Linked DNA regions of Macaca fascicularis. The protein of the gene in region 1 interacts with the protein of each later gene in a biochemical or structural test. Links are inferred from orthologs where the notes say so. Each region holds a gene or a part of one and is shown on either strand. Other genes may lie near its edges.

Region 1 (3,949 bases):
AGCAGGCAGTTTGTCAAATTGAGTTTGAGTTGCATGTTATTCCAAAATGTGTATCCCACCTGGGTCTATTCCTCAGGAACTTCTAACTCTTACTCAACTCTTTGCTTCTGAGCCTTCTCGCTCCAGCCCTCCCTGGTCTGTCAGGTTGGGCTGCCCTTGCCTGGAGAAGTTCCTGTTTGGGCTGTCTAGGGAAGCAGCTGCCTTTGTCTGCTACACCCTTCTTCCTGCACCACCCCACTCAGTTTCTTCCACATTCTGGCGCACCCCACTCCAGCATGGACACTGCCCAGAAAAGTGTCTCCGTTTCTTTCTCTCTCCAAACTCCAGACATAGCACCTATCTTGGAGGCCTGGTATCTAGATGTCCCTTGGCCTCTCCTAGGAAGTATAAACTGTCTTCTTGGTGGGTAGAGCAGCTCACTTGATATTTACAGCACACGGTGGACCCAGGGACAGACTGCACTCCAAAGAGTGAAAGTGTTAATCGTGGCATTGGTGAACTCCTTCAGGGAGTGAGTGGCACTTACAGCCATGGCTCCCGGGCCCCGTACGCCTCTTGATCCACTCCACTTTGAGACAGGGCTCTATCAGACCAAGCTATTGAGAGTCTGTTTTTACCTTGGGGAGTGCATTCTGGCAGTGCCATCTGGGACATGGAAGGCAGTAACTGGTCTGGACTGAGCCTGGGGCACCATCCAGCAGGGCCCTGTGTGTGCCTCTGCAGAGCCACCTTGGGAAGAGTTGGCCAGTAAGACTTAATTGCTTCCTCTAGACAGCACTACCTTGAACACAGCCTGCAGAGTTCGGTGCCTGCCTTGGACAGCCCCTCTTCTATACGTTCATCATGACCCTGGTGCCTGTCCTGGGCAGTGCCACTCAGCCCCTTTCGGACCCTTTTCGGACAGCCTCCAGTGCCCAGTGCAGACAGAAACTCCAGGCAGGGCCTCTCTCAGACACAGCGAGAGGGGCTTCAGAGCCCACTGCGGACGGAGGCTGCTAGGGCAGCGCCCGGCCCGCCTGGCCCACGTCTGGCGGCGCGCACTGGTGCTGCCAGGCAGGCCGGGCGTTTATCCCCAGAGCAGCCAGCAGGGAGCTCCCTTTCGGCTCGGCTGGCGCGGTCGCTGGGGGCGGCGCTGAGCTGCGCCGCGCTGCGCTCTGCTCCAGCCCCGACCGGGCCGAGGCTGCTGGATGCCGCGTCTCCGCTTCTGCTGCCTGCCGGGCGGGCTCCGGTGGCCGGTGAGTGCGGGTCGGCGGCGGCTGCCGCTCGGTGGCGGGCCCGGCCCGGTGGGGCGGCGGGGCGGGCTCCGGCCGGGCGGGCGGGCGGGCGGGCGGCGGGGCCCGGCGGCTCCTCCTCCTCCCCTGTCCCCTGGAAGCAGCGGCCCGGACTCCCGGCTCCCGTCCCTGGCGGCGCCGTGGAGCTCGACGCCCGGGGGTGGGGGCCGACCGGGAGCGGCGGGGAAGGGGGACCACCGGCCCTTCCAGCCAACCTGGGGGGCGCAGGGAGGCAGGACAGGGTGGCCTTCAGTGTGGGGGGATTTGGCGCTTGGAGGCGCCCAGGTGGCCCGGAGCTGCGGGGTGCGGGCTGCAGCCTCGGGGGTGGGGGGACTTCTCTTGTCCCGGCCCAGGCCCCCCGATGGAGCGAGCGAGCGAGCGGGGCGCTGAGGAAGGCAGCGGGGAAAGGGAGCACCTCTACCCAGCCTTTTATCCCTCCCAGCGGCCTTCACTCTTTCACTGCCGGGCCGACTGCGGGCTCCTCTCAAAGGAGCAGCTGCTAGACAGCTGGCAAAACAATAGAGACCCCGCTTCCCTGGGCCCCCTCCTCTTGGGACAGAAGATGAGGCGATGAATGGTGGCAGGCTTTGGGGATTAGGGAGTGCAGGCTGTACCCTGCGACTGAATGCTCACCTCACCTTTCCCTGCAGAGGGGTGGGGTGCGTGTGGGAAGGTCGGACAAGCTGCCCCAGGCCTCTGGAGAGACCGCCCCAACGCCCCGCCCTGCTAACCTGTCATGCCAGTTGTTTCGCCAATGGGAAGGGGAGGTGGTAGGGGTGGCTGCCCCCTCACCCTGCCCCTTGTTAGTGGGGGTGCTCTCCTTGGTCCCAAGCCTGGCCAGGAGTGTGGGTCATGTTCCTGGGTGCGATAAGGCCCGCAGGGACAGGCCAGGCATTGGGGCTTTGTTGTGGGGGTGGAGATGGGGGAGTTGCCCTACTGCAAGGCACATGTGTCTTACTGATTAGTTGGAAAGGTTGCGGCCAGAATGAGCCAGAGGTGGGGGGTGGGGGAGATGGGGAGGAAGACAGCCAGTTTGTTTTTGAGCCCGTATTCGTTTTGCCTGGCCACTTGACCAATGGGGCACGTGTTTGGCGCTGGCCGCATAGTGTGTGTTTGTGTGGGGAGGGCTCGGGGAATGCTTCCTGAGAGGGACTGTCCTGGTTAGGGCCTTCATGCCCTCAGATGGCCACCCAGAATTAAAGAATTGGGTTCCCTCCCCGCTTCACCCTGCCAATGACTTGGGCTAGTTAGTGTGGGTTCGTCTTGTCTTTTGGAGCCCCTGGCGTGTCTGTGGCTGAGAAGACCTCATCAGTGCCCCTGTGGCGAGTGAGCTCTGGGAATTGTGTATGCACTGGGGCGCGCTGGAAGGGAGGGGAGGCCACTTGGATGATTAAGAGCGAGATCAGGCCGGGCGCGGTGGCTCACACCTGTAATCCCAGCACTTTGGGAGGCCAAGGCAGGCGGATCACCTGAGGTCAGGAGTTGGAGACCAACCTCAACATGGATAAAGCCCGTCTCTACTAAAAATACAAAATTAGCCGGGCGTGGTGGCGTGTGCCTGTAATCCTAGCTACTTGGGAGGCTGAGGCAGGAGAATTGCTGGAGCCTGGGAGGCGGAGGTTGTGGTGAGCTGAGATCGCGCCATTGCACTCCAGCCTGGGCAACAAGAGTGAAACTCTGTCTCAAAAAAAAAAAAAAAAAAAAAAGCAAGATCATCTGAGGAGGACGGTGAGTACAGAGCCCATTGAATCAAGCTGCCTTTCCCTTGTGCTTTGGAGCCCTTTTCTTGAGCAGATTGGTGCCCCGTTGTCGTAGCAACAGGCCTGGCCTAATGTTCCCCACCCTTTTTAGTTCAGGGGCTACTTTCTATTTGGGGATATTGAAAGTTGCTCTCCTGAGGTCTCTGGCTTCCTGACAAGCCTCACTGGCTCTTTGTCCATGGCTTCCCACCTCCTCAGCTTCCCCTCTGTTTTTTTGTGATGAAGGCTTTCCAGGAAACATCCTCCTGGTTTCTGGATTTGACAGACGGGTTATATATAGCCTCGGGTGGAGGTGTGCTTGTCCATTTTGGGTTGAGGACATCGGGGTTGTGGCCTCAATTCCAGGAAAACCATGGCTTTGGGGGCAGCTATTGTATTGAGGGGATTAGGGGAATGAGAAGGGTTGTAGGTGGGGGTGGAGGGTGGGCATGGGAGGGGCCACAGGCTGGTGGTCACTTACTTTGGGAGCTTTGAACTTTGAACAGCTGATGACCTGGTGCCTGGTAGCTCTGAGTGTCTAGTTTGTTTACTCTCTCCTGGCCTGGCCCAGGTGCTAGAGTGTATGCCTGAGGACTTCCTCCTGCGCCCCAGACTTTCCTCATGTGGGTTATGCCCTTCCTGACTCCCACCTGGTCTCTCAGCCTCACTCCTGGGCCGTCTGGGTAGCCAGCCAGTTCCCTGGAGGCCCCCTCACTGGCCCTGGTAGTGGCTGTTCATTGAGGAGTGCATGTGTCTTCAGAAACTAGGCCTGAAAACTCTGGGCCCCCCAGAGGCAGGTACCTAAAGGTGGACTGGGTGGGGCAGAACTGGGGCTCCTGTGAAAGGGAGAATCCACCCTGCTGAGGTGGAGCTGGGAGTTGTTGGAACTCAGGAAGCCTTCATCCGGACTTGGTGTGTCACAGGTCTCCAGGGCAGCAG
Region 2 (3,500 bases), on another chromosome or scaffold:
GGCATGAGGATCACTTGAACCCAAGCATTCAAGACCAGCCTGGACAATAAAGTAAGACCTTATCTCTAACAAAAATGTTTTTAAAAAAATTAGCCCGGAGGCTGGGCGCGGTGGCTCACGCCTGTAATCTCAGCACTTTGGGAGGCAGGTGGATCATTTGAGGTCAAGAGTTCGAGACCAGCCTGACCAATATGGTGAAACCCCATCTCTACTAAAAATACAAAAAAAAAAAAAATTGGCCGGGTGTGGTGGTGCATGCCTGTAGTCCCATCTACTAGGGAGGCTGGAGCAGGAGAATCGCTTGAATCCGGGAGGCGGAGATTGCAGTGAGCTGAGATGGCACCAACTGCACTCTGGCCTGGGTGACAGAGCAACACTTGGTGTCAAAAAAAAAAAAAAAAATTAGCCAGGCATGATGGCACATACCTATGTAGTCCCAGCTACTTGGAAGGCAGAGGTTGCAGTGAACCAAGATCATACCAACCACCCTCCAGCCCGGGAAATGGTGTGAGACACTGTATCCAAAAAAAAAAAAAAGGAAAAGAAAATCAGAAGGGCACCAGATTCGAATAGCAACTCTATATACTAGAAAACAATGGGCTGGGCATGGTAGCTCACACTTGTAATCCTAGTACTTTGGGAGGCCCATGGCGAGCGGACCACTTGAGCCCAGGAATTTGAGAGCAGCCCAGGCAACATGGCGAAACCCTCTACAAAACATACAAAAATTAGCTGGGTGTGGCAGTAGACGCCTGTAGTCCCAGCTACTTGGGAGGCTGAGACAAGAAAATCACTTGAACCAGGGAAGCAGGGGTTGCAGTAAGCTGAGATCACGCCACTACACTCCAGCCTGGGTGACAGAGCAAGACTCTGTCTCAAAAAAAAAAAAAAAAAAAATGCATGAATGGTGTTCTTCCCTACAGAACTATTATTCTCTATAGCTTATCAATCAAGAAGTGTTCAGCTCTGACCTAAAACTTTTAGATTCATTAGGACACTGATTGAGGAAAAAAACTAGTTTTGAAACACCATGCTCAAGAAACACAATGACAAACCAGAAGAAAATCAGTCTTGAATATTTGAGATTGAGGTTTAAGTTAAATTACCTCTATTATACCAGAGAAGCACCTACACAGACTTTCACAGACAGGTATCTGAAAAGTACTCATAATCTGATGAAAAGATCAATAGCCTATGCATAAATTGCACAGTAACACTTTTGAGTTTTTAATGTCAAATCTTTCAAAACCATGGCTTTTAAAAGCAGCAAATGAAGTCTAAAATCTTTCTGAAGATGTAAGATCCAGTGGCCAGTTACCTTAATAATGAATTACATTATTCATTGTAGGTACAAAGAACCAGAAAACCAAGAATGCAAAAAAGATATGGAAATACAATAGAATAAAGACAACTTTAATATCAACTTCCGCTTTCATTTTTGAAAGCTATTAGTAAAAGCATACATTTTAAGTAGTACAACCTCTTTAAAAAGAAAGTTACTCAGCACTCCTCTTACCTTTCTTGTTAATAGACTTTTACGTCTCATTCCACAAGCCTCTAGTTGTAACCTTCCTCTCAATGCTAATTCAATTAACATACAGCCACGTAATCCAGATGATATACAGTCATTCCAAAATGATGTGTAACCCTGTTAAAAAAAGAAGAAATAAAACAAAATAGCTAATTTACCTTGAATTCACAGTCAAAAACAAATATTCTCAGCCAAAGTCCTATTTGATGCCTTTTACCTTTCTTGTATTTCTATAACAACATACTGAAAAAATACAATTAACATAAATTATTAATCGATAATTTTCAGGGGCTTATCTTTCCACCACTTATTCTTATATACAAACAACAAATAACTTTAGAGGTCAAAAGTTTAGAAATATAACTCACATTTCACTAAGCTGTGTTTATTAGGTTCTTTCAGAACCCTGCAAACTCCAAGGAATACTCAGTTAATCTCCGATTATAGTGATTTATTATATGTGGACAAGTTAAGAAGCTCAGGGAAAGGCAACCTAGCCAATTTAGCTTCACTGAGAATTAGAATACCATCCATTTATTGCTGTTTAGGATAAAACCACAAGGTTAATCCGAGTGCTTTGGGAGGCGGAGCCAAGACGATGGCTTGAGCCCAGGAGTTTGAGACCAGCCTGGACAACATAGTGAGATCCTGTTTCTATCAAAAAAAAATCAATTAGCCAGGTATGGTGGTACACACCTGTAGTCCCAGCTACTAAGGAGGCTAAGGCAGGAGGACCACTGTGTCCAAGAGTTCAAGGCTACAGTGAGCAATGATTACACCGACACACTGCAGCCTGGGCGAAACTGTGAGACATTGTGTCTTAAATACACACACTGTTAATTTTGTAAGAATATATTAGAAAAACACATACGGGCCCACAAACAAACGGATGGCTATATGCCTAAAATTCTGAATAATAAACAGTATAACAATCAGATCGGCCCCAAGAGACAATGTAAGGGCAGCATCCATGGCGGAAGAACAGCCAGACATAAGGAGGTTGATAGACATCTAGAGATATGGGATACTGGTCAAGCAGACATCACCAGATGAGGTCAGGGCACTGTAACAGCAAATAACTGGAGTTGTTCAAATTATAAAGCCACAAATCTTGGCAGGAGGGTTGCCAGCTATCAATTTAACATCCCAGTTCTCATGAGACAGCAGAAGCTATAAATAATTCTCATTAAGGCTCAGAACAGGTAACATAATTTTGGTAGAACAGGCCAACTGAATCTCTGAAGAATGGAGGGCCCAGGATTAGGAAGGCCTGGCCCTCACCTCTGGCACTTTTCCAAGGTCAATCCTGGCAGTTTGCCAGGCCAGAGTAGTGAGCTTGTATTTCAGAAGATGACTGACCACTGAGGTCCATCAAACTTCATTTTTGATACAAGGAGTTAAATTCGCCTCACTAAGCCACCACTTCTGAGAATGTGACCTTTGGAAAAATAACAATTTAGATTAAAGGAGGCACAAGGGGATAAACAAAAACATCAGTGTTAAGAGATCAATTTAAATGTGAGGCAGAAGAAGCAGACACTGACTGGATTTTAGGGAATCATTTTAAAATTAGTGTTGGGGTCTGATCAAATGAAGATCAGCAGAGATTTAGCAAAGTGGCTAATAATACCAGTAGTTTATAGAGGTTAGGTAAAATGTGTGGCTTCTGTGTCCATGAAATTAAAGCCCTACGAAGCCTGAGAATGAATTCCACATGAAATTAAAGTTACAGATATCTGGCTTTGACTGGCCGGGACATATAGACAGAGTTCCTAAGTGAGCCTCTACAAACTGTAAACAACAAAGAACACCTCATAAAGCAATAATGGACGTCAACAGCCCTAGAGCCTGCAAACTCCAGCTGAACAGTATGGAAGCTTACATTTGATAGCAGAGAACTAAAATATGTCTCAATCTCAAATGCTCCTTTAATGGCATACCCAGAGATATTAGCAAAACGGGGTCTTTA

What was found. The genes of interacting proteins can lie anywhere in the genome.
Region 2: the proteins of MYO18A (region 1) and GOLPH3 form a complex in vitro, tested with the Homo sapiens proteins (2 studies listed by IntAct). The link is inferred for Macaca fascicularis from reciprocal best matches to the Homo sapiens genes MYO18A and GOLPH3.

The regions. Positions count from the first base shown.
Region 1 is NC_088390.1:34,668,050-34,671,998, reverse strand, and holds the start of MYO18A (unconventional myosin-XVIIIa), read left to right. Parts: upstream 1-1,149; 5' UTR 1,150-1,235; intron 1,236-3,949.
Region 2 is NC_088380.1:32,746,672-32,750,171, forward strand, and holds part of GOLPH3 (Golgi phosphoprotein 3), read right to left. Parts: intron 1,649-3,500; coding exon 1,517-1,648; intron 1-1,516. UniProt on the Homo sapiens protein: Phosphatidylinositol-4-phosphate-binding protein that links Golgi membranes to the cytoskeleton and may participate in the tensile force required for vesicle budding from the Golgi.